2 linked regions of the Pelodiscus sinensis genome follow. The protein of the gene in region 2 binds, or shares a complex with, the protein of the main gene of each other region. Links are inferred from orthologs where the notes say so. Each region holds a gene or a part of one and is shown on either strand. Other genes may lie near its edges.

Region 1 (14,895 bases), on a different chromosome or scaffold from region 2:
GCACAGAACGGCTACCTGCTGCCCCATGCTGCTGCCTCTGATACAAAGGCAGTAGCGTGGGGTTGGCAGCAGCCCCTGACAACAGAACTCTGAGCTCCAAGCTCGCTGTGGACAGAGGTTGCTCCGTGGGATGTGAAGCAGCCTCTGTTCGCGGGAAGCTCAGGCCTGCCATGGACAGAGGCTGCTCCACAGCAGTCTCCCCTGCCCAGCATGGGGTGGGGACAGGTGGCACTGTGGAGCCAGTGCCGGGGGGAACTGGCTTTAAAGTTGGCTCCCCCAAGCACCAGCACCCCCCTTGTTGCCTTTGTTACAGAGGAAGAAAGGGGCAGGGAGAGAAATGTGTGTAGTTGACAAGATTAACTTATAAGCTTAGGGTTATTGGTTAATTGTATAGCTGAGTACATGTTGACATCCCTAGATGAAATTATTATAAGGTGGGTGCACAAATGGTTAAAAAACCATATTCAAACGGTAGTTATCAAAACTGAAGGGTGTATTTCGTGGGGTCTACCAGGTGTCCTGCATCTGGTATTATTAAATGTTTTCATAGATGACTTGGATAGTGAAGAGAAGAGTAGGCTTATAAAACATGTAGATGACATTAAGCTGAGAGGACTTGCAAGCACTTCAGAAGATAGGATTATAATTAAAAATTACCTTGACAAAGAAAAGAATAGGTATGAAATTAACAAGATGAAATTCAACAAAGACAAGCAGAAAGCACTTCATTAAGAAAGGAAAAATCAAATGCACAACTACAAAGGGGGGAATAACTGGCGTGGTAGTGTTACTGCTGAAAAAGATCTAGGGGTTATAGTGGATCACAAATTGAATACAAATGAATAATGTGATACAGATGCAAAGAAGGCTGATATTCTGGACCGCATTAAAAGGAGTGCTGTACATAAGACATAGGAGCTAATTGTTTTGTCCCTCTCTATTCAGCACTGGGAGGCTTCAGCTGGAGTACTGTGTCAATTCTGTACCCCACACTTTAGGAAGGATGTGGAGAAACTGGAGAGAGTTCAGAGGAGAGCAAAAAAACGATAAAAGGTTGAGAAAACCTGACCTAAGAGGAAACATAAAAAACACTGGGCATGTTTAGTCTTGACAAAATAAGACTTGGGGGTGAGGGGCAATTACAGTCTTGAATATGTCAAGCACCCTAATAAAGAAGATGGAGGTAAATTCTTGATGAATTAGAGAGGATTCAAAGAAGAGCCACAAGAATCAGTAAATAATTAGAAAACCTCCTTTATAGGCTCAAGGAGCACCATCAATTTAGCTTAATAAAGAGGCAGTTCAGGGGGTGACTTAATTATAGTCAATAAGTATCTATGTGGGGATCAAATATTTATGAATGGGTTCTTCAGCCTAGCAGAGAAGGTCTAACAAGATCCAAAGTCTGGAAAAATGAAGCTGGACACATTCAGACTGGAATTAAGGCACACCTTTTTAACAGTGAGAGTAGTTACTGAACTATTTACCAAGGGTTGTGGTGGATTCTCAGTCACTGACCATTTTTAAATCAAAAGTGAATGGTTTTCTAAAAGATGTGTGGTAGGAATATGTGTGTGTTGAATTTAAAGATAGAAAGGTTCCTAATTTAGGCCTGCTCTGGGATTTTGGGGGAAATTCTAGGCCCTGTGTTACAGAGGAGGTAAGACTTGTTGATCACAAGGGTCCCTTATTGCTTTAGAATCTATGAATTGTTCTCTATGACCACTGGAGGCAGGAATAAGAAGTTATGGGTTTAACCTGCAGCAAGGGAGATTGACATTGGATATTAGGAAAAACTTTCTAACTATAAAGGTGGTTAAAGCTTTTCAATAAGTTTCCAAGGGATGTTGTAGAATCCCCTTCATTGGAGGTTTCTAGGAACAAATTAGACAAACACCCGTCAGGGATGGTGTATGTTTACTGGATCCTGCCTCATCATAATGGACCGGACTTGATGATTTCTCAAGGTCCCCTCCAGCCCTATGTTTCTCTGATTCTGTAAATCAGTGTGTTAGTGTACAACTTAAATAAGCATAGATGTACCCAACATGAATGCCAACTCTCTTTTATGCACAAATTCTACTTCCTTAGAAGGATAATGCTGCTAAACAGAGACACACCCACATTTCCCACCATTCTGCTTATTATTTATGGGCTTGATCTGAAGCACACTGAAATCAATGGGAGTACTTACTTTAGGGGGCTTTGAATCAAGTCCTATTATCGTGGTTTACTGCTCAAGCTAATAAGGCTGATAAAACGTTAATCCTGTTCACAATACTGCTTGCTAAGAGTACAGCAATACATTCCCAGAGCAGGCCACTAACTAACTCTCTCTCTCTCTCTCTCTCTCTCTCTCTCTCTCTCTCAAAATACTTCTCAGGAGAGGAATGAAAAACAAATGTTAATAGATCCTCTCCTACTGCAGAATGACGAACTTCCAAATTAACACAACAGTCTACAAGAAATAAGATCGGCATCATTCCATATTCTACTCAAGTGACACTTCTTGTTACATGGTTGATCGCAGGATTATCTGGGTTAGCCAATAGAGAGGGGGTTATTTATAGAAATAAAAGTATTCTTTGAGGTATTAAGTAAGCTGATTTAGAAGGCTAGAAGAAAAGCAAACCAATGTATGGCTGTGGACTCTACTTCAGTAGCTCTCTTTGCATATATATTATATGACTCGTGTGCAGTTAAAAATTGCAGTCCAGTTTAAATCAAGACACTAACTCTAGTGTCTACCAATAATTCAAAAACATTACTGTTCTGAAGTTATATCTAATTATTCTGATGCTAGTAAACAGCTATTTAATACCCAGGAAAAGCATCACTCAGTAAAATCCATGGGGATTTTTATAAATTCAGCTTTATAAATATTTGATACATGGACTAAAAAAGTATTAAGTGCTCCTTCATGGTTTAGCAGACTAGAAAAAGTAACAATTAATGTACTAGCTGCATGACTCCAGAATATGGCAATGACACATGCAGATGGACTGATTGTTTTACTTGCAAACAAAATATCTGAATTAACTTTTGAATGGGAAAACCATAAATGTGGGCAGTACACAGCAGTGTTATAGATATTGCAGTAGAGTTATGGATGTTCCAGGAGGCAAAGCAAGGATGTTACAAAAGCAAACTGTGAGTTACATTAGTGCCAGGGCAGCTGGGCTGGTAGCGCAAGAATTGAGATGGGTGATGTGGGAGGTTCCTAGGTTCAGGAGCAGAACAAGTCTTCAACTGGGATCAAAGCACATTGTCCAGAAGAGCTGCACTGACAACTTGTTAGGAGCGTGAGGGTTACATGTAATTTGCATAGAACCGAGCAGATTGCAGCATTTTCAATATGGTGGGCATAATTGTGGAAGCCACTCAGATAGTGAAGCCCTGTGTGCCAGGATATATGGTCTCGACAGGCAACACCCTTGAGATGAGGGTGGCCATACCGGGCAGTTCCAGAAGTGACGTTGTGTATTAAGCAAACACAGTAGTCTGTTTTAGTCTTTGATTGAGTTGTACGAGAGACCAAAATACACACTATCTTCCAACAGGAGAGTAACACTCGGAGGCCACCAGTAAAATAGCTACATTTTCTGGAAGCTGGGTGGAGATATTAAAAAAGCAAACAGAAAACCACTCGGCCATTGCCAAGAAATTCAAACCCATTATTAAATACTATATATACTGTTGGGTGGCAAATACACTCAAAAAGCAAATTAGATAAGAAAGAAAAGTTATCCATCAGCATCCTTCAGAGAATACAAATATGTGGCTTTATGAAAACATAAATTTCTAGATTGAAAACCTCCACTGAACAGAGGTCTTTTGATTATAGCTACGTGCGCTACATTTGTTTTCTTAATTCACAGATATAAAAATACAATGACATTTACAGTCCTAAGTTCTGGCAGGTTTATGAAGCTTTAAATCCAAGCTGTGTGGATTTCCAGAACTAGTTGGTGCACGCAACCACATCCTGTGCCATAGAGGCTGTTGAAAGAAAAATTCACATTTACAGGCCAAATTAGAGGTTGGTTGGGGGGGAACCAAGCATTGAAATAAACTGCAAATTTAATATCAGAGTTAACAATACAAACTATGTAACGGAGAGAGCTATTTCACATTATGATATGGACTAGAAATAGCACATGGAGCCTGCCAGACACTCCAGAGGAGAGTCTTGCCCGAATAGGAGGAGAAACAAATATCTGCTCTTTTGTTGTATTAGCCACAAAGCTCGGATGATGAATTTAGATTATAAATACGGTGTAAACTGCCTGCAGATGTTTACCTAGTAAATGTGGCATTTAACAAAAGATCAAATACATTTCTACTGAACTACAGCGCTGCTGAAAAGATAATTCTCCTAGCCAACAGCTTGACCATGCCCCCTCCCTGCCTTTTGTTTGCCTCCCTTCACTGGCATGAAACATACGCTACTCCTCGGTACTTTCAAGACTTTGCAGCATAACCCCATCCTACCTATCGTCGCCCATTCAGTATCAAGATGCTGACTCGATAGGGCCACGATAAGGTGGGTGCATAATTGGCTGGATAACCGTAGTCAGAGAGTTGTTGTTAACGGTTCTAAATCCTGCTGGAAAGGGATAACAAGTGGAGTTCCTCAAGGGTCTGTTTTGGGACCCGTACTGCTCAATATCTTCATCAATGATGTAGATATTGGGATAGAGAGTACCCTTATTAAGTTTGCAGATGATACCAAACTGGGTGGGGTTGCAACTTCTTTGGAGGATAGGGACATAATTCAAAATGACCTTAGCAAGTTAGAGAAATGGTCAGAGGTAAACAGGATGAGGTTTAATAAAGAGAAATGCAAAGTGCTCCACTTAGGAAGGAACAATCAGTTCCATACATACAAGATGGGAAGCGACTGTCTAGGAAGGAGCATGGCGGAAAGGGATCTAGGGGTCATAGTGGACCACAAGTTGAATATGAGTCAACAGTGTGATTCTGTTGCAAAAAAAGCAAATATGATTCTAGGTTGTATCAACAAGTGTGTTGTAAGCAAAACTCGTGAAGTCATTCTGCCGCTCTTCTCTGCACTAGTTAGGCCTCAGCTGGAGTACTGTGTCCAGTTCTGGGCGCCACATTTCAAGAAAGATGTGGAGAAATTGGAAAGGGTACAGAGAAGAGCGACAAGAATGATTAAAGGTCTAGAGAACATGACCTATGAAGCCAGGCTTCATGAACTGGGCTTGTTTAGTTTGGAAAAAAGAAGATTAAGGGGGGACATGATAGCGGTTTTCAAATATCTAAAAGGGTGTCACAAGGAGGAAGGAGAAAATTTGTTCCTCTTGGTTTCTGAGGACAGGACAAGGAGTAATGGGCTTAAAGTGCAGCAGGGGAGGTTTAGCTTGGACATTAGGAAAAAATTCCTAACTGTCAGGGTGGTCAAATATTGGAATAAATTGCCAAGGGAGGTGGTGGAATCTCCCTCTCTGGAGATATTTAAGAACAGGTTAGATAGACATCTGACAGGGATGGTGTAGACGGAGCTTGGTCCTGCCTTGAGGGCGGGGGGCTGGACTCGATGACCTCTCGAGGTCCCTTCCAGTCCTATTATTCTATGATTCTATGACTCCTGCCTCTGATCAGCCCATGGTACAAGCCTCCATTGTCCATTTGTTAAATTTCAGGACAAGCATTTTTGTGCTTTCTTCTAATCAGACTTAGGAAGATTTCCTGTAAACATCTGCAGAGCTACCTCATTCGCCTTCTTCAAAACCCTCCTTTTCCATTATGTCTACAAAAGTATTGACCACACTTTTAAGTTGTGCCAAGATCACTGCCTTCCATGCTGACCAGCATTGTCTCGTTTCCCTGTACTCTCCCACTGGTCTATCTTCATCTGCGGTCTCTTATTTTAGGCTGTAAGCTCCTAGTTCCTTTCCCTATCTTTTTGTTCTGTGTTTGTACAGTGCCTAGCACAGTGGGGTCCTCACCCATAACTGAGGCTCCTGCACTCTGCAGTAGTGAGTAATAATAATTCTAAAATCATTGCTTAAGACAGAGGATGCCAGCAGGAAGGTTTCACTGCATTTATATAGTATTTGCCAGTTCGGATCAAACAAATGGTCTACTGAGTCTAATATGCCATCAGTGGTGGCTAGTAGCTGATGTTTCATTCCTAGTTCATTGTGTAATTCTGTACACAGCGTGTAAGGGTGCACACTTACTGCAGCCGATTAGCTGATGCCCTGAAGAAGTCTGATTACCTTTCTCTTAGCCTGCATAACTATCGCTGTTATATAAAAGCACTAAACCTTTTTCAAAACAATGGGAGCATCTTAATCTATTAAGCACAGGTTATTCAGTACTACTACTAACACAGGCAAAATTAACTCAATTACTTGTTATGCAAACTCTAGACTATGATATCAATCAATGCATACATTTTCCCCCCTGCATTTGCTGGAGTCAATTCACCTAGAATGTTTTTCCCGCTCAAATCCACAGACATAGTTTTCTTGCAAAAGTGGTCCTACAAAATGTAATTAAATGTCAACACAGATGTTGGAAGCTGTTAATCTTTTTCCTTCATCGTTTGTCAGCATATCCCAAACTTTACAAAGCAGAAGTGCAACTTTGTCAGCAACCACTGCCCAAGTGAAAGCGTAGTTTGTGGAGTGCTACACTGCATTATGTAATTGCCCTCATCTTAAAGCAGATGTATTTCCTGCGATGAACACTGTGTCTAGTATGTAAAGCTGCCCCACCATCAACTAACCAGCAAAGGAGCAGAGTCCCTACCTAATCTTTGTCTCCACATCTTTTATGATAGGTCAGGGTAAAGCATTGCAGGCTAGAATGGGTGAGGAATATAGCATGCAACATCATCACAGTAAAGATGCTGCATGTGCTATGTTCCTAGCATGCTATCCTTGTAGCTCCACAAATAGGGGAAATATGGTTGCCCCTTGCCCTGGACCAATATGTGCAAAACTAGGCCCACATCTCTATGGACCAGAGGACTGAATGCAGCCCCCTATATGTAGGGTTACTGGAAGCTGTTCATCCCTTTGTCCCATTGTCATAAGCTTGTCCCTTTAGTTTCTGCACACAGCCAGCAAACCCACCATCCTGCCCTAAGGCTAGTCCTCCTGCCCCTGCACACGGTGGGATGGGATGCTTCCCTGCAGCAGTTGTCTCAGCCCCTTCCCACCCTCGCCCCGTATGCCTGAAACTTCTGAGTGCCTGCCTGTCCTTTCCCTTTCAAGAAGGCTCCCAGGCCGGTTCCCCATTCCTCCCTCCCTCCCTCTTCATAGCACTCCAGCACCCATCCTACCCTCTTCATCCAGGCCTGGCTCTCAGAACCCCAGGCCCCAACACTGCTTCCTCCCCACCCAGGCTGACCCCTCCAGTCCCTTCCTCATCTAGACTGGACCCCCATCCCTCTCTCCATAGCACCTTAACCCCCCACCCCATCTCATCACCACCCATCTCTCCCCAGCCTGGCTGTGACCCTCAGATCCCCACCCTCCCCCCAGGCTCAGTCCCAACACCCCAGTCTCCCCTTCCCACCTCCCCCTGAGGCTCGGTCCCAACACCCCAGCCCCCCCCCTCCCCAGGCTCAGTCCCAACACCCCCTTTTCCCCTTCCAGGCTCGGTCCCAACACCCCAGCTCCCCCTCCCCCCCAGGATCGGTCCACACCCCAGCCCCCCCTCCCCCCCAGGATCGACCCCAGCCTCCCCCCAGGCTGGGTACCAACACCCCCTCCCCCCCAGGCTCGGTCCACACCCCAGCCCCCCCTCCCCCCCAGGCTCGACCCCAGCCCCCCCCCAGGCTGGGTACCAACACCCCCTCCCCCCCAGGCTCGGTCCACACCCCAGCCCCCCCTCCCCCCCAGGCTCGACCCCAGCCCCCCCAGGCTGGGTCCACACCCCCGCCCCCCCTCCCCCCCAGGCTCGACCCCAGCCCCCCCAGGCTGGGTCCACACCCCAGCCCCTCCCTGGCTCTCCATATCACCCGAGCCCCCCCAGCCAGGCTGCCCCCCGCCCCTCCCCCACACGGCAGGACCCTCCCTGGCCGCACTCACCATCCTCCGCGCGGCTCCCGGGTTACCATGGGCAACTGCGTCATGCGCGCCGCCCCCTTCGTGCAACGTCACTCTTCTCTGCGGCACGCACTAGCGGCAAGGGGGCGGGGACAGACGTAAGCCCCGCCCCCTGGCGATCCCCCCCTCCCCTCCTTCTCCCCGAGCAGGGCGGCCCCTGTCCGGCGCATGCGTCTTAAACCGCCTTGGCTCCCAGGTCCCATGCTGACGCGAGCAAGGTGGGAGGCTGGCTCTGATTGGCTGACAAGGGCCACGCGTTAGGGAGAGGGGCGGTGAAAACCACGTGTGCCGGAGAGAGGGAGAGGGGCGCGTGCCTGGGCTGCGGAGGTAGGGAGCAGGGAAGGAGCCTAATGGGGAGGGGTTTAGAGGGAGAGCGGTGCACCAGTGCAGGGCTCAGGGGTACTGCACTGCAAGGGGGGCTGCAGGGGGGGGGGCAGTGCAAGGCTGAAGGGGCCTGGAAGGCTGCAATGGGGGCTGCAGTGGGGGGGCAGTGCAAGCATCAAGGGGCCTGGAAGGCTGCAATGGGGGCTGCAGTGGGGGGGCAGTGCAAGCATCAAGGGGCCTGGAAGGCTGCAATGGGGGCTGCAGGGGGGGGGGCAGTGCAAGCATCAAGGGGCCTGGAAGGCTGCAATGGGGGCTGCAGGGGGGGGGCAGTGCAAGCATCAAGGGGCCTGGAAGGCTGCAATGGGGGCTGCAGGGGGGGGGCAGTGCAAGCATCAAGGGGCCTGGAAGGCTGCAATGGGGGCTGCAGTGGGGGGGCAGTGCAAGCATCAAGGGGCCTGGAAGGCTCCAATGGGGGCTGCAGGGGGGGGGGCAGTGCAAGCATCAAGGGGCCTGGAAGGCTGCAATGGGGGCTGCAGGGGGGGGGGCAGTGCAAGCATCAAGGGGCCTGGAAGGCTGCAATGGGGGCTGCAGGGGGGGGGGCAGTGCATGCATCAAGGGGCCTGGAAGGCTGCAATGGGGGCTGCAGTGGGAGGGGGGCAGTGCATGCATCAAGGGGCCTGGAAGGCTCCAATGGGGGCTGCAGGGGGGGGGGGGCAGTGCAAGCATCAAGGGGCCTGGAAGGCTCCAATGGGGGCTGCAGGGGGGGGGGGCAGTGCATGCATCAAGGGGCCTGGAAGGCTCCAATGGGGGCTGCAGTGGGAGGGGGGCAGTGCATGCATCAAGGGGCCTGGAAGGCTCCAATGGGGGCTGCAGGGGGGGGGGGCAGTGCAAGCATCAAGGGGCCTGGAAGGCTCCAATGGGGGCTGCAGTGGGAGGGGGGCAGTGCAAGCATCAAGGGGCCTGGAAGGCTGCAATGGGGGCCGCAGGGGGGGGGGGCAGTGCAAGCATCAAGGGGCCTGGAAGGCTGCAATGGGGGCTGCAGGGGGGGGGGGGCAGTGCAAGCATCAAGGGGCCTGGAAGGCTCCAATGGGGGCTGCAGGGGGGGGGGGGCAGTGCAAGCATCAAGGGGCCTGGAAGGCTCCAATGGGGGCTGCAGTGGGAGGGGGGCAGTGCAAGCATCAAGGGGCCTGGAAGGCTCCAATGGGGGCTGCAGTGGGGGGGGGCAGTGCAAGCATCAAGGGGCCTGGAAGGCTCCAATGGGGGCTGCAGTGGGAGGGGGGCAGTGCAAGCATCAAGGGGCCTGGAAGGCTGCAATGGGGGCTGCAGGGGGGGGGGCAGTGCAAGCATCAAGGGGCCTGGAAGGCTGCAATGGGGGTTGCAGGGGGGGGGGCAGTGCAAGCATCAAGGGGCCTGGAAGGCTGCAATGGGGGCTGCAGGGGGGGGGGCAGTGCAAGCATCAAGGGGCCTGGAAGGCTGCAATGGGGGCTGCAGGGGGGGGGGGGCAGTGCATGCATCAAGGGGCCTGGAAGGCTGCAATGGGGGCTGCAGGGGGGGGGGGGCAGTGCATGCATCAAGGGGCCTGGAAGGCTGCAATGGGGGCTGCAGTGGGGGGGGGGGCAGTGCAAGCATCAAGGGGCCTGGAAGGCTGCAATGGGGGCTGCAGGGGGGGGGGGGCAGTGCAAGCATCAAGGGGCCTGGAAGGCTCCAATGGGGGCTGCAGGGGGGGGGGGGCAGTGCAAGCATCAAGGGGCCTGGAAGGCTGCAATGGGGGCTGCAGTGGGGGGGGGGCAGTGCAAGCATCAAGGGGCCTGGACGGCTCCAATGGGGGCTGCAGGGGGGGGGGGGCAGTGCAAGCATCAAGGGGCCTGGAAGGCTGCAATGGGGGCTGCAGTGGGAGGGGGGCAGTGCATGCATCAAGGGGCCTGGAAGGCTGCAATGGGGGCTGCAGTGGGGGGGGGGCAGTGCAAGCATCAAGGGGCCTGGACGGCTCCAATGGGGGCTGCAGGGGGGGGGGGGCAGTGCAAGCATCAAGGGGCCTGGAAGGCTCCAATGGGGGCTGCAGGGGGGGGGGCAGTGCATGCATCAAGGGGCCTGGAAGGCTCCAATGGGGGCTGCAGTGGGAGGGGGGCAGTGCAAGCATCAAGGGGCCTGGAAGGCTCCAATGGGGGCTGCAGGGGGGGGGGGGCAGTGCAAGCATCAAGGGGCCTGGAAGGCTCCAATGGGGGCTGCGGGGGGGGGGGGGCAGTGCAAGCATCAAGGGGCCTGGAAGGCTCCAATGGGGGCTGCAGTGGGGGGGGGGGCAGTGCAAGCATCAAGGGGCCTGGAAGGCTCCAATGGGGGCTGCGGGGGGGGGGGGCAGTGCAAGCATCAAGGGGCCTGGAAGGCTCCAATGGGGGCTGCAGGGGGGGGGGGCAGTGCAAGCATCAAGGGGCCTGGACGGCTCCAATGGGGGCTGCAGGGGGGGGGGGCAGTGCAAGCATCAAGGGGCCTGGAAGGCTCCAATGGGGGCTGCGGGGGGGGGGGGGCAGTGCAAGCATCAAGGGGCCTGGACGGCTCCAATGGGGGCTGCAGGGGGGGGGGGCAGTGCAAGCATCAAGGGGCCTGGAAGGCTGCAATGGGGGCTGCAGGGGGGGGGGGGCAGTGCATGCATCGAGGGGCCTGGAAGGCTGCAATGGGGGCTGCAGGGGGGGGGGGCAGTGCATGCATCGAGGGGCCTGGAAGGCTCCAATGGGGGCTGCAGGGGGGGGGGGCAGTGCATGCATCGAGGGGCCTGGAAGGCTGCAATGGGGGCTGCAGTGGGGGGGGGGCAGTGCAAGCATCAAGGGGCCTGGAAGGCTCCAATGGGGGCTGCAGTGGGGGGGGGGCAGTGCAAGCATCAAGGGGCCTGGAAGGCTCCAATGGGGGCTGCAGGGGGGGGGGCAGTGCATGCATCAAGGGGCCTGGAAGGCTCCAATGGGGGCTGCAGTGGGAGGGGGGCAGTGCATGCATCAAGGGGCCTGGAAGGCTGCAATGGGGGCTGCAGTGGGGGGGGGGGCAGTGCAAGCATCAAGGGGCCTGGAAGGCTGCAATGGGGGCCGCAGGGGGGGGGGGGGGGCAGTGCAAGCATCAAGGGGCCTGGAAGGCTCCAATGGGGGCTGCAGTGGGAGGGGGGCAGTGCAAGCATCAAGGGGCCTGGAAGGCTGCAATGGGGGCTGCAGGGGGGGGGGGCAGTGCATGCATCGAGGGGCCTGGAAGGCTGCAATGGGGGCTGCAGGGGGGGGGGGCAGTGCATGCATCGAGGGGCCTGGAAGGCTCCAATGGGGGCTGCAGGGGGGGGGGGCAGTGCATGCATCGAGGGGCCTGGAAGGCTGCAATGGGGGCTGCAGTGGGGGGGGGGCAGTGCAAGCATCAAGGGGCCTGGAAGGCTCCAATGGGGGCTGCAGTGGGGGGGGGGCAGTGCAAGCATCAAGGGGCCTGGAAGGCTCCAATGGGGGCTGCAGGGGGGGGGGCAGTGCATGCATCAAGGGGCCTGGAAGGCTCCAATGGGGGCTGCAGTGGGAGGGGGGCAGTGCATGCATCAAGGGGCCTGGAAGGCTGCAATGGGGGCTGCAGTGGGGGGGGGGCAGTGCAAGCATCAAGGGGCCTGGAAGGCTGCAATGGGGGCCGCAGGGGGGGGGGGGGGGCAGTGCAAGCATCAAGGGGCCTGGAAGGCTCCAATGGGGGCTGCAGTGGGAGGGGGGCAGTGCAAGCATCAAGGGGCCTGGAAGGCTCCAATGGGGGCTGCAGGGGGGGGGGGCAGTGCAAGCATCAAGGGGCCTGGAAGGCTGCAATGGGGGCTGCAGGGGGGGGGGGCAGTGCAAGCATCAAGGGGCCTGGAAGGCTGCAATGGGGGCTGCAGGGGGGGGGGGGCAGTGCAAGCATCAAGGGGCCTGGAAGGCTCCAATGGGGGCTGCAGGGGGGGGGGGGCAGTGCAAGCATCAAGGGGCCTGGAAGGCTGCAATGGGGGCTGCAGTGGGGGGGGGGCAGTGCAAGCATCAAGGGGCCTGGAAGGCTCCAATGGGGGCTGCAGGGGGGGGGGGGCAGTGCAAGCATCAAGGGGCCTGGAAGGCTCCAATGGGGACTGCAGTGGGGGGGGGCAGTGCAAGCATCAAGGGGCCTGGAAGGCTCCAATGGGGGCTGCAGGGGGGGGGGGGCAGTGCAAGCATCAAGGGGCCTGGAAGGCTCCAATGGGGGCTGCAGTGGGGGGGGGGCAGTGCAAGCATCAAGGGGCCTGGAAGGCTCCAATGGGGGCTGCGGGGGGGGGGGGCAGTGCAAGCATCAAGGGGCCTGGAAGGCTGCAATGGGGGTTGCAGGGGGGGGGGGCAGTGCAAGCATCAAGGGGCCTGGAAGGCTCCAATGGGGGCTGCGGGGGGGGGGGGGCAGTGCAAGCATCAAGGGGCCTGGACGGCTCCAATGGGGGCTGCAGGGGGGGGGGGCAGTGCAAGCATCAAGGGGCCTGGAAGGCTGCAATGGGGGCTGCAGGGGGGGGGGGCAGTGCATGCATCGAGGGGCCTGGAAGGCTCCAATGGGGGCTGCAGGGGGGGGGGGCAGTGCATGCATCGAGGGGCCTGGAAGGCTGCAATGGGGGCTGCAGTGGGGGGGGGGCAGTGCAAGCATCAAGGGGCCTGGAAGGCTCCAATGGGGGCTGCAGTGGGGGGGGGGCAGTGCAAGCATCAAGGGGCCTGGAAGGCTCCAATGGGGGCTGCAGTGGGGGGGGGCAGTGCAAGCATCAAGGGGCCTGGAAGGCTCCAATGGGGGCTGCAGTGGGGGGGGGGGCAGTGCAAGCATCAAGGGGCCTGGAAGGCTCCAATGGGGGCTGCAGTGGGGGGGGGGGCAGTGCAAGCATCAAGGGGCCTGGAAGGCTCCAATGGGGGCTGCAGTGGGAGGGGGGCAGTGCATGCATCAAGGGGCCTGGAAGGCTCCAATGGGGGCTGCAGGGGGGGGGCAGTGCATGCATCAAGGGGCCTGGAAGGCTCCAATGGGGGCTGCAGGGGGAGGGGGGCAGTGCAAGCATCAAGGGGCCTGGAAGGCTCCAATGGGGGCTGCAGGGGGGGGGGGCAGTGCAAGCATCAAGGGGCCTGGAAGGCTCCAATGGGGGCTGCAGTGGGGGGGGGCAGTGCATGCATCAAGGGGCCTGGAAGGCTCCAATGGGGGCTGCAGGGGGGGGGGCAGTGCAAGCATCAAGGGGCCTGGAAGGCTCCAATGGGGGCTGCAGGGGGGGGGGGCAGTGCAAGCATCAAGGGGCCTGGAAGGCTCCAATGGGGGCTGCAGTGGGGGGGGGCAGTGCATGCATCAAGGGGCCTGGAAGGCTGCAATGGGGGCTGCAGGGGGGGGGGGCAGTGCAAGCATCAAGGGGCCTGGAAGGCTCCAATGGGGACTGCAGTGGGGGGGGGCAGTGCAAGCATCAAGGGGCCTGGAAGGCTCCAATGGGGGCTGCAGTGGGGGGGGGCAGTGCATGCATCAAGGGGCCTGGAAGGCTGCAATGGGGGCTGCAGTGGGGGGGGGGCAGTGCAAGCATCAAGGGGCCTGGAAGGCTGCAATGGGGGCTGCAGGGGGGGGGGCAGTGCATGCATCAAGGGGCCTGGAAGGCTGCAATGGGGGTTGCAGGGGGGGGGGGCAGTGCAAGCATCAAGGGGCCTGGAAGGCTGCAATGGGGGCTGCAGGGGGGGGGGGCAGTGCAAGCATCAAGGGGCCTGGAAGGCTCCAATGGGGGCTGCAGGGGGGGGGGCAGTGCAAGCATCAAGGGGCCTGGAAGGCTCCAATGGGGGCTGCAGGGGGGGGGGGCAGTGCAAGCATCAAGGGGCCTGGAAGGCTGCAATGGGGGCTGCAGTGGGGGGGGGGCAGTGCAAGCATCAAGGGGCCTGGAAGGCTCCAATGGGGGCTGCAGTGGGGGGGCAGTGCAAGCATCAAGGGGCCTGGAAGGCTCCAATGGGGGCTGCAGGGGGGGGGGGCAGTGCAAGCATCAAGGGGCCTGGAAGGCTCCAATGGGGGCTGCAGGGGGGGGGGGCAGTGCAAGCATCAAGGGGCCTGGAAGGCTCCAATGGGGGCTGCAGTGGGGGGGCAGTGCATGCATCAAGGGGCCTGGAAGGCTCCAATGGGGGCTGCAGGGGGGGGGGGGGCAGTGCAAGCATCAAGGGGCCTGGAAGGCTGCAATGGGGGCTGCAGGGGGGGGGGGCAGTGCAAGCATCAAGGGGCCTGGAAGGCTCCAATGGGGGCTGCGGGGGGGGGGGCAGTGCAAGCATCAAGGGGCCTGGAAGGCTCCAATGGGGGCTGCAGGGGGGGGGGCAGTGCAAGCATCGAGGGGCCTGGAAGGCTGCAATGGGGGCTGCAGTGGGGGGGCAGTGCAATGGGATAGAGTGCAAGCCCCAGGGAGTCTGAAGGGGGTGGGGAGCCCAATGTCATGGGGACTGCAGTGTAAACCTCAGGGTCTGAGAGGGAAGTGTGGTGAAATGGGTGGCTGTGTGCCCCT
Region 2 (15,184 bases):
AACACTTACACCCCTATATTTTTGGTCTGTTCTGAAAGCAGAGTTAATCTTCTTTCCCCCACATGGTAGCAAAACAACATATAGGGAAACCGAGGCACACATAGTCTTAATAAAAATATTACAAAAATTCCCATTTAATTTCACTTGTCCATTCCAGACACCCTTTCCTGTGCTTCTAAACAACAAGATTTTTCACATTCTGATATTTACATATAATGTTAAAAAATATGACATAGCTTTCTCCAAGGGGCGGAGAAAAGGAGGAAATGGAGTCTGCAAGTTTTTCTTCAAATAAGACAGTCAGCCATTAAGGGCTATTAAGCAATTAACAGATCTGGTCCAGACAGAGCAGAAAGTAGGAAGAAGTCAATTTGCACCAACTTTTCTGCAGAAGTTGGGGTTTGGAGACACATAGAACAAAGGAAGCTGGTGGTCGGGGTGGGACAATCTAATGTGATTAATTCAGAATAAAGAAGACAAGGCTTAGGACAGGAGAAAGTAAAAGATTTAGCTGGGATGGAGGAGGAAGGGTCCCGTTTAATTGAGGGACCAAGGAAGACAAAAACTAGCGGACCTAAAGGAAGGAAAGAGACTCCATGATTTCAAAGAGAAGCCATGTGCTGTAGAGAAGACTCCTGTGCCAAAAACCCAGACTACCTCCAGAGTGATAGGGAAGCCAAGGCAGGAATTCTTACAAAGGCTATATGACTGTTTGCTTTTCACTATTATGTGTCCCTAAATAGTTAAACTGTTAACCCAGAGTTTCCACATGGTTGGAGTTGTATTAGAAGTAATGATTATTATTATGATTATGTCAAGGTTATGGAAGTTACAGAATCCATTACTTCCATTGACCTCTGTGACATATTCTTTCCTAGGAGTCAAGTATCAGAGGGGTAGCCGTGTTAGTCTGAATCTGCAAAAGCGACGAGGAGTCCTGTGGCACCTTATAGACTAACTGAAGTGTAGGAGCATAAGCTTTCGTGGGCAAAGACCCACTTCGTCAGATGCATGTAGTGGAAATTTCCAGAGGCAGGAATAAATATGCAGGCCATAAAATAAATAAATATCAGGCTGGAGATGACCAGGTGGATCCAATCAAGGAGGATGAGGCCCACTTCTAGCAGCTGATCTGGAGGTGTGAATTCCAAGAGAACAGAAGCTGCTTTTGTAGTTAGCAAGCCATTCACAGTCTTTGTTTAATCCAGAGTTGATTGTGTCAAACTTAAAGATGAACTGTAGCTCAGCAGTTTCTCTTTGAAGTCTGGTCCTGAAGTTTTTTTGCTGCAGGATGGCTACTTTTAGATCTGCAATTGTGTGTCCAGGAAGATTGAAGTGTTCCCCTACAGGTTTTTGTATGTTGCCATTCCTAATATCAGATTTGTGTCCATTGATTCTTTTACGTAGGGACTGTCCTGTTTGGCCGATGTATATAGCAGTGGGGCATTGTTGGCACATGATGGCATATATTACGTTGGTGGATGTGCAGGAGAATGTACCAGTGACCTCCTCGTCGCTTTTCCTAGGACTGCAGCTCTCAGCCCCTGAGCAGGTGAGGAAACCTTGAAGCTGCTTAGCTCCAGGGAGTATAACTTATGGGGGAACTTCTGTAACTGTACAGCCATGGTGGGCAGCAGGGGATCCTCCCATAGCTGACAGCAGGCAACCCTCTGAATGCCCAGCTGCCACGGGAGGGGAGGAGACCCTGGAGCAGCTCAGCCCCCATGGGCAGGGGCCTCTGGAGCTCCCACTCCCCACAGCAGCAGAGGATCTAAGATCCCCAGCAACAGTGGGTGCTGATCTCATCTCCCCATTTTGTCAGGGTCATTTTTGTGAAAGTCAGGAACATGTCACAGGCTTCCATTAAGATCCCAGGCTTCTGTTTATTGCCTGGGATCTGACCATGACTTGCACTAAAAATATCCATGGCTCTCAGGCTGGTCCCTCTCTGGCACATTGAGTGCAGAAGGAGAGGCTGCACAAAAGACTTTAAAAATACCCTGCCACTAAATGCTTCTGGTTAAAAACTCCCCACGGTCACAGATTCCCTGACCTTGGATGGTATGCTGCCACTACCCAAATACAAAAATCCCTTTGAGAACCCAGGAAGAAGTATTTGGGAATTTTTTCCTGTGGGGTATTCTCTCAAGCTCTTTAACTCTCCCACTGGAGAGAGCCTGAAAAACTAATTTCTTAATAGCTGACCTTTCAGTCTCACAAACATGCACATTCAAACCAAATGCCTTCTAAGACACAGGATTCAGATTATAGTCTTAAAAGGTTATTTTATTAACAAAATGAAGACGACATACTTGGTAAAGCATATTTGGTGTTACAGAGAAACTGAAAAAAAGCAAATTAAAAACAGAGAATTGCTTTCCTGGGATTTCCTTTAAAAGTCAACAGGGAGAAATGGGCTCAGAACAGAAGAGTTCAACAAACTCCAAAATAAATAAAATAACCTGAACATATCTGACTAAACAGTCCCTGGTCTAGGGATGTAAGCGACTAGTCGACTACCCGATAAGCCCTCCTGTACATTTTAAAAGGAGAGGCACAGCAGTAGAGACCCATGCGAGAGGGGACTGTTTTGCCTCTTCCTTTGAAGAGGATGGTTCTTGTACATTTCAAAGGCAGAGGCGCAGCAGGATAGTGAGCACCCTCCTTATCGACTAATCGAGTAGCTGATGGAAATTCCATTTGACTCCTCAATTAGCCGATTAATCAAAATTTAACATCCCTACCCTGTTCTATACACACCTCTGTTGTTCCAAAGTTTAGTCTTTCCCCCAGGCATAGATATCACTGGAAATTCCATGCCTTGTTCCTAGCTTAACTCATCTCCCTCAGCTCAGATCACACAAAGACTGCAGCAGGGAAGGTCCTACTTCAATTCAAAACTAACACTGTTTTCATTGGCTCTCCTGGCTCCCCTGTCCACAGTTTCTGGAGACTCTCAACTACTCACTGTCTCTGGGTTTAACTCTTACAGGCAATTTAGTTAACTGAATTGCTGGGATGTCGAGAAAAGGGTAGAACCCCGCCCATTCATGATGGATAGGCATGCTATTTAGATAGGTATGCTTAAGTTACTGAAAAGTGTGAGTGGTCAGCATCGTCCTGGGGACCTAGAGAAGCTGGGCAGCATCGACTCATTTATGTAAGGGGTAACAGACAAAGAGGCTGTATTCAGCTGTGCCAGAGAGGTTGTGAGTTACCTCACCCTCATTTGCCCTTAGTATGAGGAATTCTTATCTGTCTTTGCTGTGGAACCGCTCCCTGAATCCACCAGCTGCTGCCAATACAAGCACTGTCTTTCAGGCCTCAGTTTCTCAGACAGGTAGCAATAGATTAATGCCAACCTTCAAGGCCTCCAAGAGCATTCCACGCATTGTCTAGCCACCTATCCACTGATCACTCACAGAAATGCCTGGCCTGCTTTTCCCAAAGAAACAGTGCATGTCAGCTTCTAATATTCAACTCAGGGCCATAACTTTGCTTAACATCACAGCACTTAAGACATGTTTATTATCAAAAATATATTTTTTATCAAAGAACAGAGATTCAACAACAGAAAGAATATTAGAAACAAATGATTACAAACAAAACAAAATCACATCATGCTTTCTAGAGACTAAACTAAGTTTTCCTCTTGTCTAAAGAGGCTTTTCACCCTACATTCTTACCAGCGTTTTCAACAAATCCTCCTTGAAATCTCTCTTTCATGAAGTAAAATCTGCAGTCAATTCACATCATAATAAGGATGACGGTGTGTCTTCTTTGCCCCTAAATACACTTGTATAAGCCTTTGATCTGTCCACTGTGAACAATACAATATTTAATTTATATGTAAATAGTCAACTAGATAAACAATTCTTGTGCATCAAAAAACTTGTTTATCTTTGCTGGTGATCAGTCCCTAGACACAGGTCCTAACAACAGAAAGACTGCGTCTAGACTGGCAAGTTTTTCTGCAAAAGCAACTGCTTTTGCGGAAAAACTTGCCAGCTGTCTACACTGGCCGCTTGAATTCACGCAAGAACACTGATGATCTCATGTAAGATTGTCAGTGTTCTCGTGGAAATACTATGCTGCTCCCGTTTGGGCAAAAGCCCTCTTGTGCAAATGCTTTTGCGCAAGAGGGCCAGTGTAGACAACGTGGTATTGTTTTGCGCAAATTAGCCCCGATCGCAAAAATGGCGATCGGGGCTTTCTTGCGCAAAACTGCGTCTAGATTGGCACAGATGCTTTTCCGCAAAAAGTGCTTTTGCGGAAAAGCGTCCGTGCCAATCTAGATGCTCTTTTCCGCAAATGCTTTTAACGGAAAAACTTTTCCGTTAAAAGCATTTGCGGAAAATCATGCCATTCTAGACGTAGCCAAAGTGTATAGATATACACAACTCCTTACACAACATCTGTACATTTGTTTCACAGTTATATTGATGACCAGTGTAAAGCCAGCTTTTATGAGAGACCTTGCATGACATTCTTGGGGAGCTAGAATGTACACATCAGAGACTGGAGATCCTTGTAATCCTTATGTGGGCACCCTGTTTCTCTTGGCAGTTGGCACTATGAGGTTCTTGAGTCTCAGAGACTAAAGGAAGAAACAGTGCTACAGTGTACTCAGACCTAGAGTGGGACACAAACTGTGGATTGGTTAGAATTTAACAATGCACGCTTCACCAAGAATAGCGTGTAAATACATAGTAACATAAACATAATCAAGGAAAAGGTAGATGCAAGAGAGAAAGAGACCAAAAGATACAAAATGATGGCAGAAACAAAAGATATCACACAGTAAGGAGAGTTTCTTATCTGGGTATAGGTTCCCACTCATGAATAACTCTCTCTGTATTTCATCGACCAAGAGCATACCACCTACTTGCATACCATCCAAGGCTTGTATGTGCTGTATGGGTTCTAAGAGGTCTGCCTACCTACATAGAATGACTGTTTCTATTGAGAAGACAAAAATATCAGAAGGGCATTAGTTGGGTTGCAGGTGGATGTGGTTTAAGAGAACCTGGGGGGAACAGACTGAAACAAAGTGTCCTTTGATGGGTGTTGCTGACTGTTGCCAGGTAGTTGCGCAGCTACACAGAAGCAGTGAAGTGCTTCAGTGAAGATACTCCTATGCTGAAGGGAGAGCTCTCCAGTCTGTGTATTAATCCACCTCCTCAAGAGGCAGTAGCTATGTCTGTGGGAGAAGTATAGTGCTGTCTACATAGGGGGTTAAGGTCAGTATAACGAATGTCGCTCAGAGGTGTGGATTTTTCACAGCTCTGGGTGACATAGTTATACTACTATATGTCTGTAGCATAGATCTGGCATAGTAGATTCAATTTACTCAGCAAAGTCTTCCATTTCTGAAATGGTCTCATCTGGGACCAATTATTTAGTACACAACACCTGACTGCAGAATAGCAACATATATGCCTTGAACAAATCTTCTAATTTGTTAGTTTTTTCATCATTTGAAATGTAGGCAGCTACATTTGTCTCAGATTATATTGCCAAGGTTTAGTTATGTTAATCTCTGTGTAAGATCAATACAATGAAAATGATTCGAGTTGGACGGAACTTTGTTTCCAGGTTTAAATAAATTAATCTTTTCAATTTGTTATTTACTTGAGGGCTTTGATCAATATCCCCTAGATAGTGTACTGTAGTAATTGTTGGGTAGCTTGTTTATTCTGATCTTTCACATTGTGCTGTTGTAAAAAAGCCACTTATAATTAAAATTCATCAGAGTTTAGGCATCCTAATAAAGACAGAAGAATGTATCATCCTGTAGTTACGTTTTCCCAATACAACTACTTGCATGTACAAAAGCTTCAGGGGGTAGCCAAATTAGTCTATAACTGGAAAAACTTAAAAATAGTCTAGTAGCACCTTAAAGACTAACAAAACAGGTAGAAGCTGAAGAAGTGGGTTGTACCCACCAAAGCTCATTATACCATCTACATGTCCTGTTAGTCTTTAAGGTGCTGCTAGAATATTCGTGTTTTTTTAAGTACTTGCATGTTGTCAGTCACTCATGTAAATTCTAGAACAGCATGGGACAGTAGCAAAATACTGGAATCAGAGGTGATAATTTCTGTGAACCAGATTATCTCCATCTCGGTTTTTGTTATTTCTCACAAATGCTTAAAAAGGGTACAGCTCCAAAGTTATACTTGCTATTAAGCAATATAGAAAGTCTCTTAAAAGCCCTCTCATGGGTATCTTATGGACAGCTGATTGCTGCTACTCCGATACAGTGTTGCATAAATTTCTGGTTTCGTCCCCTTGGAGGCTAGTCTGATTTACCCCAAGAAGAGAGTCACACTTTCAGGCTGGGTCCAACTCAAGTTTATTGGTTGCAACCAAGGTACGGCTAAGGAACTCAATGTTCAAAGCAGAGCCGACCCTGAGCGTAGGCTAAGCATCCTTTTTATACTTTCTTTAACTTTCTTATCTAACTTGGCACGTCTTGATTTGTTACCTTAGCTTCGTGTTGCCGCGTTATTGGTTAGCATATTTCAACTCTATTCCATTCAGTAACAACCACCAGTACAGCTTACTTAAGCAATAGCAATTAGCAAATTTCCCTAACTCAAGTAATACCTGTACTCCAGTCCTTGAGAAATGGGTCTAAACAGCTAGTTCCCCTTTTTACTTCAGCTTCTAAAACATGCGCAATTAGCTAAATGATATGTGCTGTTTCAAGCTTAAGTAATGGAAGGGGGAAGAAGCACACATAGTCTTTACTATATTTTACTACAACAGCATTTAGAAAATGGGGATGGAAACAGATCTCAGAGGGCTGGGACGAGGTAAATAGCCTCAGAGTATTTGGAGCCTGTCTCCACAGCACTGGGAAGGGTTGCACCAGCCGGTAGTTACCGCACGGAGCTACCTCTTCCCAGAAATGCGCCACTACGGCTCACCTCTTCCCGGGGTATGGGGCTGTGGATGCTGCGCTATACCAGCGCGCTAGGGGGGTCGCCCAGCGTAACTATCGTGCTGCAGCAGCTCCAGGTTCAGGGGCTGTTCAATCCAGCTGCAAAAGAGCCTAGAGCAGGGGGAAATTCCTCCCCGGGCCCAGGAGGCGACAGCCAAGGGCAGGACGTCGCACGGCTGTTTGCAGCCCAGGAGCAGCAGCAGGACCCCGCAACGGGGCTCAAACGCTTCTCCATTCTCCAGGCCGCGAGCTGCCGCGCGCGCCCCCAGCGACAGCGCGAGGCCTCGCAGCCGAAGGCCAGAACGGCCCGGCCGCGGCCCCGCCCCCACGCGCCTCTCCCCCACCACCTGGCCCGTGCCCGGGTGACGCCGCTGCCGCGCGCTTCACACCTGCATCGCGGCAGGGAGAGAGACCGCGCGCGCGCGCGAGCGGACCGAATGCTCCGCGGGGGGCGCGCGCGCTCCCTGTGTGACGAGAGCTGCGCCAGCGAGCTAGTAGCGCCCCAACCGCCGCCGCCGCAGCCCGACCTCGATGGCGGCGGAGAGGGAGGCGGACGTGGAGTGGGTGGTGGACAGCATCGCCGGCTTCCTGCGCGGGCCCGCCTGGTCCACCCCCATCCTGGAGTTCATGGAGCAGAAGTGCGCGGGTGAGAAGCTGGGGCGGGAGCCTGTCCGCCTGCTCTCCCCCTCCCGCTGCTGCGCAGGGCGTTGCTAGGCCCGTGGAGAGACGCTCGGCGCCCGTTGCCAGGCCCTGAACCAGGCTCCTTCCGGTCAGCCTCGGCTTGAACCCCGGAGCGCGAGGGCAGGTGCAGCTACCGCCCCCTGCTCCCTCCAGACCTTAGCGCCTCTTCTGGCGTCAGCGCCGCCCCACCAGATTCTGGAGTGGAGGACCGGCCGGCCGGCCGGCCACAGCAGCGCCACCTCCCCCGCGCTCTGTCACCACTGTTGGGAGGGGAGAGAGAGACGTGTCCGTGGGCCCTCAGTCTGCTGGGGTCAGTGGCCGCTGGGGACGCACCGTCCTTCTCCGAGGGGCTGCTCAGAGAGCACTAAACCCCTGCTTCAGTGTTTCCCAATTTTATTTGGCCGAGGAACCCTTTTCAGAATTTTGAGGAACCCCATGGCTTGTCAAGCAAAAAAAAAAAAAAAAAAAAAAAAGGTAGGGCGCGGGGGAGGAGAGAGGGACCCACCAATTCATGAAAATCACATTCCTTCCCCAAGACACACATACCCCCCATCTCCCTTCTGTGAGGCCTCAGCTGCTCTGTTCCCCTCCTCTCCATCACTTGCTATCTCCAGCCCTTATACTTGTCTCAACCTAATGAGAGTGAGGTGTGGGGTGGGAATGAGGGATTTGGGTGTGGGAAGGGGTGAGAAGTACAAGCTCTGGGAGGGAATTTGGATGCAGGAGAAGGGGCTGTTGGCTCAGGGAGGGGGCTCTAGGCTGGGGAGTGTTGGGTTCAGGTGGAAAGTTGGGGTGCTGAGCAAGCCAGGGCTTGTGCATGTGAGGGTGCAGGAGTTTGGGCTGGATATGTGAGGGACTCAGGGCAATAAGGTTGTGAGTATGATGGGCTCTCAAGTTGTGGTGGGAGAGGTCCAGGTTGGATATTAGGAAAAACTATTTCACTAGGAGGGTGGTGAAGCACTGGAATGGGTTACCTAGGGAAGTAGTGGAGTCTCCATCCCTAGAGGTGTTTAAGTCTCGGCTTGACAAAGCCCTGGCCGGGTTGATATAATTGGAATTGGTCCTGCCTAGAGCAGGGGCCTGGACTTGATGACCTTCTGAGGTCTCTTCCAGTTCTATGGCTCAGGACACAGATTTGTGATGTGTGGATGGTGGAGGAATGTTGTGGCAGAAGACTGAGGATGTGGGGATGCAGGAGTTTGGGGATGTAAGAGGCTCAGGACGGGGATTCCAGTGTATGATAGGCTCAGATTTGGGGTCAGGTGGTGCAGGAGTGTTATGATGCTGCAGTGAAATGGGGATTTGGTCTCAATTGGGGGCTTGTTGGCCTGGCTTAATTTTTAAATAAAATATGTCAAACTCAAAAGGTTTTAGCATTGTCTTTAGATATGAGAGGGGTGAGGAACCTGTTTTGAGTCAAAGGTCACTGACCCACAGAAAAGTCAGTTGGGGCCACACAAGTGAGATGCAAAAAAACAAAAAAAAGCTCCTCCAAAACCCCCCCATGTCTCACTAATGTCCCAAATGTGCTGGTGAGGGTAGGGGACAGAGTGCTAGTGAGTGCTGGGGCTGGAGAGAGGGTGCTGCTGGGTGGAAGGATGCTGGCCCAGGTGGCAGGGTGCTGGGGTCACGTACATGGTCCTGCTGGGCACTAGGGTGACTGGCAGGATGCTGGGACAAGGAACAGGGTGCTGCTGGGTGCTAGCGTGGATGGCAGGGTGCTGGGGCTGGGGCCAGGGCCGGGGCGGTGCTGAGTCCTGGGGTGTGAGGCAAGGTGCTGGGGCCAGGGCGGTGTTAGGGTGGATGACAGGGCTGCAAAGGAGCGGGATTGGGATGGGGTGCAGGATCTGGGAGGGAGCTGGGGGGCAGAAGGGGACAAGGTCTGCGTGGTAGGTAGGGTGCTGAAGCAGGCTGGATGTAGGGTGTCTGGCTACAAGGGAGGGTGTGAGGAGGGGACTTGGGTAGGAGTTGGACCTCCCTGATCTGGCACCCTCTAGACCTGACTGGTCCCAGATGAGGATTTTTTGGACCAGGGGAGGTCATTTCAGGGCTCCTGGTTTCTCTCCCCCCCTCCCTTCCCAACTAGGCTTCTTTGCACCTCTATCCCCTGCAACTGAACTAAGCTGCCCACCCCTGCTGGTTCCCTGCACTTCCCCTGAAACCATCCCTCACAATCCAAGGGAGTGCAGCACCAGTTCCCTGCAGCCCCTCACAGCCAGCTGAGCTGCCTGTCTGTTCTGTATGCCCTCCCCCATCCACCTCAGCCCAGCTGAGCCCTGCACTGGTTCCCAGCATGCTTCCCCCACAGCACAGCTGAGACCAATTTCCCTGCACCTCCTCCAAGCCCCACAAAACTGCTGAGCCAAGAGCCGATTCCCTGTCCCTCCCTCCCCTTGAGTCTAGCCCCGGTTCCCAGCACTTCCCTCTGCCTGCAGTCAAACTGAGCTCTGAGCTCCACATACCCCCACCCCACCCTAACCCAGCTCCGCAGACCTCTCCACTCTGCAACCCAGCTGAGCTCAATTTCCCTGCACCTTCCCCCAAACCGTGTAGACATGCTGAGCCAGTGCTGATTTCCTGTCCTTGCCTTCCTCCCTCCCCTTGGCTGTGTCTACACTGGCACGATCTTGTGCCAAAGCGGCCGGTCTTGCGCAAAAATTTGCTGCCTGTCTACACTGGCCGTGTGTTCTTGCGCAAGTACACTAACGTTCACATGTATGAAATCAGGGCTTCTTCTGCAAGAACTACGATGCTCCCACTCAGGAATAAGCCCTTTTGAGCAACTATTCTTGCGCAAGAGGCCAGTGTAGATAGGCAACATGAATTTCTTGAGCAAGAAAGCCCTATGGCTAAAATGGCCATCGGCACTTTTTTGGGCAAGAGAGTGTCCAAACTGCCATAGGTGCTCTTGTGCAAAAGCACAGCTCATACATGGAAGAGTGGATGTGTTCTTGTACAAGAACACTTGCCCAAGATATTCTTACGCAAGAAACAACCAGTGTAGACATAGCCTAAGAGTTTCCTCACAAGCAAAATGAATTTTGTGTTGTGCACCAGTATTGAGTTCATATGGCTTGTTTGGATGTGCCACCCAAGTTATTAATAAATATTTTTAAACCTCTACCTTTTCCCTCTGCTGCCATGTCAGCTCCCCTGGTGCCTGCTGCCTCCCCACTCCTCACCCTCCTCTGCTGTCCTGACTCCTGCTCTTCTCACTGTTCTCAGCCCTCCTGCAACCTGCCTCCCTCCACCAGCCCTTCTCTCCTCCCTGTGCCCACTTCTCCAGTAGCCCCACTCTGATCATGTGAGCTACCCCTCCTCATCCCCTCTTCTAACGCCTCCCTCTACAAACCTGCCCTGCATCTCTCCTCTGATGGTGGTCCCTCCCCTGCAGGTACCCTTCTGCTTCACCCCCAGAATCGCTTGGCACCTGCACCTTCCCTTACCCCTGCACCCTCCTGGTGCCTCCCCCTTCGCTCCATTTTTCCCTGATGCCCACCCCTCAACACCCTCTGCCCCCATTCCCCTCATGCCCCTGTGCCCTCTCACATGACTTGCTCCATCCCAGCCTTCCTGATGCCCACCCCTTCTTTCAAGCCTTCTCCCAGCATCTCCCCTCACCCCTTTAGCCCCCAATGCCCTTACCCTCTCCTCTGCCAGCATCACCCTGTCCCCCCTCCTACTAACACCTCCCCTCCTGCCCGTTTCCTCATTGTCTGCGCTTGGCCCCCTGGCATTTGTCTCTCCTCCACCCCTGTCCCTTTGGTGCCTTCCCCTTCCCCTCCGCACAAGCACCTTCCTCTCCCAGCCCTTCCCCTTTCCCTCTGCACGAGCCCTTTCCCTCACCTCCCCTCTCTCTCCCCTTCTCCTTCCCCTCCCCCTCTCCCGTACCTTCTACCTTCTACTTTGTGGGGCCGGAGTCTGCGCTCTGTCCCCGGACTCCGAACCCGCAACTCAGCCATGCGGCACATCACAGCGCCCAGCAAGTTTAAAATCCCGCGCTGTGACGTTACGTGACGTCCGGGTGTCTCTCCACTCACTGGCAGCAGCAGCCAGCAAGGAAGAGCTCAAGGAAGGTTGGGCAGGGACGGGGACGGGGGAGAGACGCTCTGGGGCCGGGGTGGGAGGACACGCGCGGGGGGGTCGAGACCCGTTCCAGCTCCAAATATTGCTGGAGCGTGGGCACCACAAAACTCGCCGCCCACTCCTCTGCTGGCTAGCTGGCTCTCTCTCTCTCTTTTTCAGAGGGGGCGGGGGAGCGCTGGCTCCTCGCGGAACCCCTCGTTGTGCTCTGCAGAACCCCAGGGTTCCGCAGAGCACCAATTGGGAAACACTGCCCTACTTAAATCTGCGTCCAGGTAGCAACACTTCACTGAAATGTCTCTGCGAGTCTTAGTCCCTAGTGACTCAGCGCTGTGCTTCCAGCAGAGCATGGTATCTGATAAAGAGGGATTTTAAGGTTTGCATGGAAACATAAGTAGTGGAGTGTGGCGTTGTAAAGCTTAGAACTGCCTTGACATTTATGAAAAGAAGATACAGTAATAACTTGTTTAACACGTGCCCACTTAACATGTTTTCGCAATAGCATAATTTTTTGGGGGGGAACGTTTTTTGAATAACACTACTGTCCCTGAAATAACACAAAAATAATCAAGTGGCAGACTACTTCGCACGGCAGTATAAGTTGGTGAAAATAGTGGTAATACGCATGAGCGAATGAATACACGTGGTCACAGCACTTCTCCGCTCACTCGTGTTTATCTTTGTGTTTTAACAAACAGCGGCAACTTGTGTTGCTAGTTATCTTGTGTTGCTAGATAGGTAATGTTGACGTTGATGACCCAGCACCAACAAAAAATTGACTTTGCCACCACCACTACCTGAAATGCAACTCCCACCTTTTTCATTATTTTTATTGGGAAAATTGACCCCACATAGCACATTTTCACTTAGCACGAACATTTTCAGAAACGCATCTGTAGTGTTAAATGAGGAATTACTGTACATTTGCTTTGATAGTTGACACTTTTATTATTCATGTTAGAGTCATGAGTTGATGAAAGTAGTTTGTCAAAAGTTAAGCTTTAGAGGACTAAAAAAGGTTTTACTGCTTTTTGCAGGTTTTACATGGCTACAGATTCATTAAAAGTAATTTATATTTGGCTTGGAGGTGTGAGTTCTGCCTAAGACTCTCAGGTACTACTTGATCTGCCTCCTCTTCTGTTTAAAGATAGAGCTGATTAGGCTCTGTCTAGACTGTTCCCCACTCTGGCACTTTGAGTGCACAAGGAGGGGGGCCATTAAGACACCTTAAAAATACTTTGCCTCTATAGGCTTCTGCTTAAAAGCTCCATAGATCTCCTACCCATGGGAGGTAGTTGCCACCTTGTGAAACAAAAAAAAAATGCCTGTCTTCTTGAACCCAGGAAGAACGCACTTGAACTTCTTCCAGAGGGGTACCCCCAAGCTCTTTTACCATGAGACAGCTTGGAAAAAAAGAGTGGGGAAAAAAAACCCTGCAGTCTTAGGTAGCTGACCTCTCAGTCTTAGGCATGCATACATAGAACTTGTTACCTTCTAGGACACAGGAATAAAATCATCACCTTAAATAAAGGTGGTTTTATTAACAAAACAAAAACTTATACTTAAAGCATACTTGTTTGCTAGGTGTTACAGAGCAACTAAGAAAAGAATAGATCAGAGACACAAAGAAACATAGCTCTTTGGGCTGTAGCTTAAATGGTGAGTAGGGGAGGGAAGGCATGGATTCAAACAGAGAAGTTTAAGCAAAAAACCAAAACAAAGAAAATTACCCTGATCATGACTAAATACACATTTTTCCTTATTTACTCACTATTGCTTCGTGGTTCAGTCCACTTCCATGCCCCTGAATTTCTTGGAGGTATGGTAGTCCTGCCTCAGTTTAATTTATTCTGTCTCCCAACTCTTGGCTTAACTGACACACACAAAGAAAGCAGGCAGGATATCTATATACAATTCAGATTTCAGTGTTGTATCCCATTGGCTCTTCTGGCTTTCTGCTAACACCCCTGCTAGCTACCTGAATTTAACTCTTTAGTCACCGGGTGCTGGCCAGCACTCCTTCTATCCATCACAGGTTTGATAGTCCTTTATTGATTGATTTAAATAATCACTAGAGGTGAAATCACTGATCATTAGGTCAAAGTGCTTAGATCTTCTGTGGGTCAGTGTTTCTGTGGAAGGGACTGTCCAGCCTGCATTGGCAAATAGAATGTCCCACTGAGGGCTAAAATTACTGAGAGCTGGGTTGAACCTCAAGAGACCAACTCACAGAGGTTATAGTGGCAGATGGCAGCAACAGATGATGACAGAGCCTACAACAATCAAGCAGTGGCATGAATGTTGCACAACAAACAGCAGTCAGAGCAAGTGGCTGGAGGAATGAGTGATGTGGATTCTTCCTCACACCCACAAGGATGGGAGATGAACTCATGTTAAAAGCATCTGTAAGCCCTGACCAAAGATGATAATTATGAATGTCTTCACTGTGAGGGAGGAAGGTCAAGCTTCATGGGCCAGAACTGGGTTGCAGGGGAAGGAAGTGGCTTGGTTCATTGCTGCTCCCCCTTCCCCGTAGTGCAGGAAACTGCTTACCTGGAGGCTTTCTGCTCTGCTCCCATTGACTGGAATCACAATCACTGGAGATGTGGGGCATAGTGCTTGGGAGCAGTGGAAGGCACAGAGCCAGATATGCACCCCCCCATCCTCTTCATGCTTGGACTTTGCACTTCCACCCTCCTCACACACACTCCTGCTGAGATCCTGCACCTCTATCTGCTCCTGTACCCTGCCTTTCTCCCAGACCCCTCACTCCCACTCTGCTCCTGCATCCAACCTTGCACCCAAACCCCACCACCCTCAGCCTGCTCCTGCACCCATTTTGTCATCAGGGGTGATTGGCTGATGGTCTGCAGAAAGGTTTGCATTGTGCGGGATAGGTTGTGGGTCAAAAAGTTTGAGAACCACTGTTCTAGCTTGTAGTATTAACACTATGTAAGAAACAGAATAAGATTGTATTGCAAATCATGCCATGCATTTTCTTGATAACTGTGGAAACTGGGTATATTGAATTTACTCTTTCCAAATGTCATCTATCTGACTACAATAAATATTTATAATTTGTAGGTTTTTCTGAAGTTTAACATTGTAATATGTTTTTCTAGATGCTAGAAAACTGATATTCTACATATCATTTTGTCCCTAGACAACTTGGGGCCATAGTTGGGTATGTGACTTGAGGATAAATATATATTACCTTTTATAATAGGTAGATCTTACTTTTTAATTAGGGATGCATTTTATTGAGGTTCACTAACTGTCTAATATTTCAGTATTTCAAATGTTCTTTCTACTATTGACATTTACATTTTAAGAAAAGTGAAGTTTCCTTTATTTTAATTTCAGTTTTTGATGATGAAGAAGAAAGCAAGCTATCATATACAGAGATTCATCAGGAGTACAAAGCTCTGGTGAGTATTATTCACCAATTGCACTTAATCTTGTAAGAAACTTGTA

The links.
Region 1: the proteins of CFAP36 (region 2) and ARL3 are in contact, whole or in part, in a crystal structure (PDB 4ZI3), measured with the Mus musculus proteins. The link is inferred for Pelodiscus sinensis from reciprocal best matches to the Homo sapiens genes CFAP36 and ARL3. Residues at the interface, in NP_080016.1 of Mus musculus: Glu44, Glu45, Ser46, Lys47, Leu48, Thr51, Glu52, Lys58, Val61, Glu62, Leu65, Glu76, Phe79, Gln80, Cys83, Thr84, Ala88, Lys89, Leu97, Val100, Leu101, Ala103, Glu104, Asp105, Phe106, Thr107, Ile108; in NP_062692.1 of Mus musculus: Leu3, Leu4, Ile6, Leu7, Arg8, Lys9, Leu10, Lys11, Ser12, Arg19, Lys35, Glu40, Pro47, Thr48, Gln49, Gly50, Phe51, Asn52, Ile53, Lys54, Trp66, Ile74, Tyr77, Ser80, Tyr81.

Annotation. Positions count from the first base shown.
Region 1 is NC_134718.1:72,679,137-72,694,031, reverse strand, and holds the start of ARL3 (ADP-ribosylation factor-like protein 3), read right to left. Parts: upstream 8,212-14,895; 5' UTR 8,070-8,211; coding exon 8,067-8,069; intron 1-8,066. UniProt on the Homo sapiens protein: Small GTP-binding protein which cycles between an inactive GDP-bound and an active GTP-bound form, and the rate of cycling is regulated by guanine nucleotide exchange factors (GEF) and GTPase-activating proteins (GAP).
Region 2 is NC_134713.1:176,414,115-176,429,298, forward strand, and holds the start of CFAP36 (cilia- and flagella-associated protein 36), read left to right. Parts: upstream 1-7,265; 5' UTR 7,266-7,477; coding exon 7,478-7,592; intron 7,593-15,073; coding exon 15,074-15,138; intron 15,139-15,184. UniProt on the Homo sapiens protein: May act as an effector for ARL3.